Linked DNA regions of Danio rerio. The protein of the gene in region 2 purifies or fractionates together with the protein of the main gene of each other region. This does not show direct contact. Links are inferred from orthologs where the notes say so. Each region holds a gene or a part of one and is shown on either strand. Other genes may lie near its edges. The genes, in order: rad1 and zgc:110269.

Region 1 (4,363 bases), on a different chromosome or scaffold from region 2:
GTGTTCAAAGGGGGGAAAGTTTTAGTTTTTTACCCAGACATTTAAAAAGAATATATTTCAGAGCAGTAATCTTAATACCGTGAAACTGATATTTTTTATTCATGGTTTTCATACTGTCAGAATCCTATACCGGCCCATGCCTAACTACACCATCTATGTTTTTAAGAGAATCTCCATACAATCATTGTATGCAACCTGGAGCTTATGGACACTTTATTTAATTATACCACAGAGGAGCTGTGTATAAAGAACTGCAATAAGTTCTAAAGAGGTTTAACTTTTAACCTGCTCCGAAAACTTTCTCCCTAGCAAATTTGCTTCAACATATAACTTTAAACGTTCCCTGTACATGTACTTTTTATCACTCATATCTTCTGTAATGACATGCCCTAAATATTTAACAGCCTTACTAGCATTTAAATTTTGCCGTGACATCATGTAAACACTCCTTTTTAACCTAACCTTTTTTATTATATTGCACATCATAGTTCTCTCTCTCTCTCATATATATATATATATATATATATATATATATATATATATATATATATATATATATATATATATATATAAACTTATTTTTATCACATGTTAAAGCAACTCTTTATTCCACCACACGAAGATAATACAATATAACGTGATAAATGCTTTAGCAATGATAAACAAAACAATCTGATTCCATCATGACAATCTCTTGCAATAAAGCATATCCCAATTCACAATGAGCTAGCTAACGGATTAGCTAGTTAACGTAGCAGGTTCATTTGAAGTAACGTTACATGAAACTACCACAGTCGTTACATTGCACCAACCACGTAAGCGTAGAGTATGTTTACTTAAAAGAAGAGGTAGAGATGCTATTGTTCACAAAATTCGCTTTGTTGCTGATATGGTCTGGTTGCCATTGAGATAGATAAACACAAACAAACAAACAAACCAGCTGGGAACTCCACAATCTTATTAAACTGTATATACAATATTTACAATTACTGAACAAAATGGCACTTTATAAAGTAAAATAAACTAGTAAATGTCATAACCCTACCTGACTTTTGTTTGGTTATGTGGCACTTCTGTTGGACCGACCGACCGCTTCCTCGCATCTGTCTGGCGACGGCCCGTCCAACTCGTGATGAAACGGAGGGGTGTACGAGTGCATCTTAAATATATTTATGTTTGAGATCTCGCCTTCTTTAAATTAAATAAACACCCTTATGTCTCATAAATAACTGAATAAGCGGTTATGTTATCTGTTTTGCAATAGTGTAGTAACACAAATTCATAGCCAACTTTAAAAACCTACCCCCTCCTAATACTGTAAACGTTTATGTATGAACTCGTCCTGCAGTTCTGCATCAGACCCATATGCGCGCGCGAGACAACTGATGGGAAGCTAAACTTAGTCAAAATCACAAGAAGAAGAGCTAATGGCAACAATTTAAGGGCGCCAAACTCTAAAATGATATTAATTTGTCATATTTCATATATCTAACAGGTGAGTTCAGCAACAGGAACATGTACTGTGTATGTTTAATGTTCGCCCTTTCACGGCCTGACGCCATTTTAGCTAACTAACTTAGTAACGTTAGTAACTTACAACTAGTTGCCAATATTATGTTTATTAATTCTCGTCACAATTTGTAAACAGCTGATAGAAACTTGTTCATGTTTCTGTTAAAGACATTTTCAAGTTCATTAGAAAAATTAACATTCAGATATCTCGTTTTTTTAATAAAAGACGGCGACAATACATTTTTCTGTGTTTAACTTGTTTTTAATTGTTATGGATTCCATATTTTAGTATTATAATTGACAATTATGATTATGTTTGCATTCAAAATAGAACATAGTAGCCATTCTAGCACACATTTAAACAACATTAGTTTTACTTACAAAACAAGTTAGAAAAAATAGTACAAAACAAATATGAAAATGTTAAAACTTCAATCTGATATGCAAATTTGATGTTTTTTTTTTTCCATTTAACGATTGTTATCTGTAAACTATTGGACCAAATACTGCCTACATTCTTTAATTAAATTTAATATTTTAACTTTTCTGTGAATTTATTGTATACAATATTTACTACTTATTTATTTAACATTTCTACTTTGAAATGTCATTACAGATGTAATAACATGCCTCTGTCAACTCAGTCCCAATCCGATGTTGACCAGTACATCCTGATAGCCAGTTTGGACAATGCAAGGAATCTGTCCAACATCCTAAAAGCCATCTCTTTCAAGGATCATGCCATCTTCAATGCAACACAGAATGGGTTGAAAGTCACAGTTGAGGACTCCAAATGCCTTCAGGCCAATGCATTCATTCAGGTTGATGTTAGCAGACAAATTCAGACACTTTCTGCTGAGAACAGTTGAATCTTTAAGCATATTTGTGTATTTTCTGACATCAGGCTGACATCTTTCAAGAATACATCATCAAAGAGGATGCAGTTGGCTTTCAGGTTAACTTAACTGTTCTTCTCGATTGCCTCACCATCTTCGGGGGAAGCACAGTGCCAGGTGTGTATTACAATTGTGATCCAGTCTTTTTTTGGGAAATGTAACATAATCTTTGTTTTTATTTTATCATTAAGGTGTGTGCACCGCCTTGAGAATGTGCTACAATGGATATGGATATCCACTAACTTTGTTCCTGGAAGAAGGTGGTGTGGTCACTGTATGCAAGATTAACACACAGGAGCCCGAGGAGCCCATAGACTTTGACTTTTGCAGTACAAACGTGACCAACAAGGTGATTCTGCAGTCGGACAGTCTTAAAGAGGCTTTCTCTGAGCTGGACATGACCAGTGAGGTTCTGCAGATTACCATGTCACCGAGCCATCCTTACTTCAGGTACAGTAGTTATGAACATGACATGTTTGAAGTGGTTTAAATAAGGGATGTCCAGATCACGTTTTTTTTTTTGTTTTTGCCTCCGAGTCATTTGATTTTGAGTATCTGCCAATACCGAAACTCGATCTGATACTTTTATAATGCATTAAAAAAATAAAGAAGAGCAAAGAAATAAATCCAGTATGTTCCTTATTTTTTATTTAGTTCACTGTATTTTAACATTTAACAAAGATCACTTCTGTGAGGTAGCTTGAACAATCAAGTAATAAGTAACATAAATTCTTCACTTTTGGACTTAAGTGCAACATTAAATATTTAAAAAATCTAATATTAAACCAAAAAGCACCTTATCTTAAAATACTCAGCAGGCAACGCTGCTGTTTCTGTGTGAAGTTAAGAAAGAGGTCTAACTCTGTGACATCGCATAACAATATATGTGTTAAAAAAAAACAAATATATATATATATATATATATATATATATATATATATATATATATATATATATATATATATATATATATATATATTGATCTTGACATCTCTAATTTAAATGTTTATTTTTTTTCCATCTGATAAAAAAATGCTTACAAGGTTTCTTTTATTTTTATAAAAAATTGAAAAATCACAGTACATTTGTGAAATCTTCCCACAATTTACAGTATGTGTTTGCATTGTGATATTTAAGAATGCTGTTCAGTCCTGTGATGGCAAAGCTCAACTTCCAGCACAATGTGTCCAGTCTTCCACATCTCATGATCCTCCAGAAATCATTCAAATGCACTGATTTCCTATTTAAGAACAGTATAAGATTTTTTAGAAATGGTTATTGATACAGTTTTTGTTTAATGGAAAGCTCAAATGAAAAGCATTTATTTGAGGATAACGTTATTTATTTTGATAAATGCAGGTCAGAATATGTTTTCCACTTTTAAACCTTTGGTGATATGATATAAGCATTCAGGGTTTTTTTAACAAATGAAAAAAACAAACAAAAAAATTTGCGGTTTGTTTTTTATTTATTTATTATTAACTAATTTAATGCATTTTAATTAATTTATTTATTTGAATATATGGTTCAAATAGAAAAATAATAAATGTAATTTTATATAATGTAGGTTAAGTGTTTATGTTATTAATTCATATAATTTTGTGAAAAATATTTATTTTTGACTCAGAATAAAAGCAGGACACATTTATATGTGCAAGGAAAAATGATCTGAAGCTGCTTTGTACTTTTTTTGCTTTCGTGCTTGTAAAAGCTTTTAAAAACATTTTTCCTTTTCTTCCTAGATTATCCACATTTGGTAATTCTGGAAATGCCCATTATGATTATCCCAAGGACTCAGACATGATGGAGCTGTTCCAGTGTACAAAAATACAGACCAACAGGTAGCAAAACAGACTAACTTTTCACAGTTGCCTTTTGGTTCTCTTTTTGTTTAGTCCAGATCAAAAACAAAAATGATATGGTTAATCCAGGTTCACTTAGAACTCAGATGACCA
Region 2 (4,348 bases):
AACAAGGTGTCAAATATAATAGTTATTATTACAAATATATTATTATTTTCATTAAAAATTCTATATTTTTGTTCTTCTGCAAATAATTGTATTGCTCATAAATGCATTTATAATGTTACAAGTACTTCTGAACTTTATATTATCAAAGATTATTAAAAAAGACATATTAGAAATTTAATGCATCATAATAAAATGTATAGAATAAATTGCATTTTAAAATATATTCAAATAGAAAACAGTTAGCTATGGTATGATGTAATAATATTCTAAAATACTATGGTAGTGATTAAAACAATGCAGCCCCTGTAAGCATAAAATAGCTTGAAAAAAAAAAACAACAACAACAAAGCCGTGAACAAATATAACCAGCTCCAAACTTATCGACTGAGTATATGAGGAAACATTTAAAATATACATTTTTCACAGATCCAGTTGCAACAGTGTTGAAGCCACATATTTACCTGTGTTGGGGCTCTGTGAGCTGCTCCAGCCTGTGCTTTGAGCTCTTTTCTCCAGCTAAAAAAATAACGTTTTACTAAATACAAACTAATTATATGTATATATATATATATATATATATATATATATATATATATATATATATATATATATATATATATATATATATAACTATTCAACAGAAGTCTGAATCTCACCACAGCTCTCTTTTGATGGGGTGGCTTTCCATCAAGTACAAAGACAGGCTTGATGTCATGCTCCAGGAAAGCAAGAGTGCGGTAAAACAAGCCAGCGAGGGGACTGCAACAATAGATATTCATTTTGTAAACAGAAACATATAACATGGAATAAAGAGCTGGGCAATTTGGCCGAAAATCTAAATCCCAATTAATTAAACAGTTTAACTCAATAACTATTCATGAACAATTATTTAATTTATTCATTAATTATTAATTATTAATTGATTATTAATTCATGTTTTATTCATATAGTTCACTGACAAGTTTTGTACAAGAAATAAGCTCACATATTACAATATTTATTATATATTTATTACAACATTAATTAACATTAATATTTATTACAACATTAATAATATTTTAAACAGTGCATTTATTGCATCTTCTATTTTAATGTAAATAATTATTTTAAATGAATGGAAAATATGCCGGCTCAAGGCATCTCTGACGCAGCTCCCAATCATTGTCACTGTAGTGCAAAGTAAGGCTCAATAACAGTTCCATCGTCTTACTTGACCCAAGATCAGATGTGGCCGCGAACCCTTGACTCTACACATGGTAGAGAACGTAATTGAAAAAAATGACCTTGAAAAATTTGATCGATTATGGGTTCTGAATGTTGATTTCAATGACCTTTTAATTAATCGCCCAGCCCTAGAAGGGCAATACAAAAAATGAATTGAACTGACCTTAGTTTCAGATGGCCAGGGAGAGCTGAACGGAACTGATTCACCACAATAGATGTATCTAGTGCGATAATCTTACCTGAATCACAGATAAATGACATTTAATACAGTTTATTTTGGGTAAATATAACAGAAAAGAGACAATTCTGAGAAGAACAGGGTTTTTTAAAGCTAAAAAGCTGCAAGGAAGTGCTACAAGGTGAGTGGAAAGTTTGAAGATAAAGAATAAAAATGGCAAAAAAGTATCAAAAACAAAACTGAACGATCACACATTTTATTAAGATAAATAAATGACACAATAAACAAACATTAGTATAAATTAAACAAATATTTAGAATTAAATTATAATAGCATACTGATTATACAATGAATAAATAAGATTAGAATATATAATATGTTATCCACAATTTGTTTAAAATTATGAAATAAATAACTAGGATAAAACTAAATATAAGTATTATTGTAAAATATTATTGTTTTATCTTAATAATTATTAAATTGATTAGAATAAACAAACAAACAAACAAATAAACAATAAATAATTAAATAGAGCACATAATTTATTATTCTGAAGGTTTTAGTTCTACAGGTTTTATGAAAGTTCATTTAAAAGGCCACATTAAAGACCATAGAATACATTGACACAACACAATCCATCACCATGTTTTAAAAATGTAAATATCTATGAACCACAAAATAAGTTGCATTAGCAATACTTTCTACAAATTTTCCAATATACTTCTACCTCGCAGTACCTAAAAAATAGGTTCTTTATTAAATCATTTGTTGCCTCACAGTACAAATACCTTAAAAATTCATTCAATCAAGATGCATTTACTTGAGAAGCAAAATGATAAAATATATGAAGTCTTGTTTTCTAAAATATTGATGAACAATTCATTCATTCATTTATTTATTCATTTTCTTTTCGGCTTAGTCCCTTTTTATTAATCTGGGGTTGCCACAGCGTAATGAACCACCAACTTATCCATATGTTTTACACAGTGAATACAACCCATTGGTGACATTTTAAATATATTCACTAAATACTGATTATAAGAAACTAATTCTAAACTAAAACATTATTCATGTGCTTTATAAAAATGTTAATCCTAAAGGTTTTGCCAGCAGAAATAACCCAAATGTTTCTTACACCCCCAATCACAGAGCAGTCAAGTCAGATAAAGATTTAGTTTTTTAAACAATTCATTATTTTCGATTTTTTTTGTACATTTAAAAAAATCACTTAAAATGTAGAGATTTAATTTAGATAAAACATGAAAAAGAAGATTCAGTGATATAGGGAAAAAACAGCTAAATAAATTTTAAAAAGTTAATAAAACTACAGGATGCATTTTAGGACTGTTGGGCCCCATGGCTGGAACAGTTTAGGGCCCCCAAATCACTATATATATATATATATATATATATATATATATATATATATATATATATATATATATATATATATATATATATATATATATATATATATGTCTGAATCCTTATTGTTAACGTTTAACTACATTATAACTTCAATGCATTAATCTTACCAGAATAATCGCCGATCTCTTTGCTGCGCATTGACGCTGGTGCGTCGAAATGAATTAAATGCGCTAATTTTGTAATCCCCATATTAAATTAGCAGCGTTTTTAGCAGTAAATAGTGCTCGATGAACTGTTGTTTTGGTCATTCATCGCACACACAGCTTCATTTCCGCATCGTGCCAGGGTCTCACGATGTTTCCATGGTAACATGGTACTGATAGGGTACTTCGACATACGTCATCAAATCGTTTCAAGACTTCCTTTGCTTACAACAGACTGACCCAACTCACTTGCCGTAGTAGACGGCGAAAGTGCGAAAAGAGTTTTGAAAGTGATGCGCGTGGGGAAGAAGCAGAGGATGGGCAGGCTCACATTATTCTAAATGTTTCATTAGGTCAACACGACCTAAACTTTTTTTTTGCAAATAATAAGAACTCATTTACCAAGTAAAGATGGAGCAAGGACTAGAAATGTCAGCAATGATTCCTGCACTGCAAGAATTAGCAAGGTAACGTCAATGGCTGCTAACAGCGACTATTATTTTTTTAAAGTGTCTTTAACATGACTAACGTTATTAAAGAATAAATCAAACACAAGGCTTGTTTTGTGTTTTCCAGTGCCAGTTCGGTTGAGTACAACCAGGCAGTGCAGAAACCTCGTCAGATACTTTGTCAGTTCATTGACAGGATATTGACAGATGTTGATGTCGGTAAGAAACAATAAACTGTATTTTGGGGTTTGTTGAGAATAGTTGTTCTTACATGAAAGTTCTGTCATTATTTACTAACACTTGTGCTTTTTCAAACCAAGCTGAATGAAAGTAAAGCTATAAGCTTGTAGTTGACTTTACATAAAACCCGAGAAATACTGAAAAATCTTAATGTAAAGTCCTCTGTGGATGATTTATGTTTTTTATATGCTAATAGTTATAAATGCTAATAATTATATTACATGTTAGATGAAACTTCTAAATAATGCTTGTCAAATGGCTTTCAGAGTGTGTTTTTTATTTCAATTGTATGTACAGCTTTATAGTCGAGGTATTTTATTTCAGTGTAACTTAATATATGTATAGTATAGGACAGTGGTTCTCAAACTTTTTTTCATCAAGTACCACCTCAGAAAAAAATTGTCTCTCCAAGTACCACAAAAATGAGCAGTATTGAAATACAGTAGCGTAGTAGACCCAGTAAAGCAGCTACAACTCTGCAAAGTAAAAAAAAAAATGTGGCAGATTACCTCAGAAATATAGGCTAAATGTCACATATGGCATATTATTTACATAATTTTTGAAAAATTTTGAAATGTGTATAGCATGTACATGACATATTTTATTCCTCCACGTACCACTAGAAGGAAGCCTGCGTACCACTATTGGTACACGTACCACAGTTTGAGAACCACTGGTATAGGATA

Evidence for each region.
Region 1: the proteins of zgc:110269 (region 2) and rad1 purify together in Homo sapiens (affinity purification with western blotting; 3 studies listed by BioGRID). This does not show direct contact. The link is inferred for Danio rerio from reciprocal best matches to the Homo sapiens genes FEN1 and RAD1.

Annotation. Positions count from the first base shown.
Region 1 is NC_133190.1:26,248,612-26,252,974, reverse strand, and holds the start of rad1 (cell cycle checkpoint protein RAD1), read left to right. Parts: upstream 1-1,432; 5' UTR 1,433-1,495; intron 1,496-2,128; 5' UTR 2,129-2,138; coding exon 2,139-2,333; intron 2,334-2,416; coding exon 2,417-2,525; intron 2,526-2,599; coding exon 2,600-2,858; intron 2,859-4,150; coding exon 4,151-4,249; intron 4,250-4,363. UniProt on the Homo sapiens protein: Component of the 9-1-1 cell-cycle checkpoint response complex that plays a major role in DNA repair. The 9-1-1 complex is recruited to DNA lesion upon damage by the RAD17-replication factor C (RFC) clamp loader complex.
Region 2 is NC_133177.1:18,816,745-18,821,092, reverse strand, and holds the start of zgc:110269 (probable flap endonuclease 1 homolog), read right to left. Parts: upstream 3,124-4,348; 5' UTR 3,020-3,123; coding exon 2,938-3,019; intron 1,464-2,937; coding exon 1,388-1,463; intron 760-1,387; coding exon 657-759; intron 517-656; coding exon 462-516; intron 1-461. Other genes in the region: serine/threonine-protein kinase ATR, read left to right, coding at 3,385-3,440, 3,550-3,641. UniProt on the Homo sapiens protein: Structure-specific nuclease with 5'-flap endonuclease and 5'-3' exonuclease activities involved in DNA replication and repair.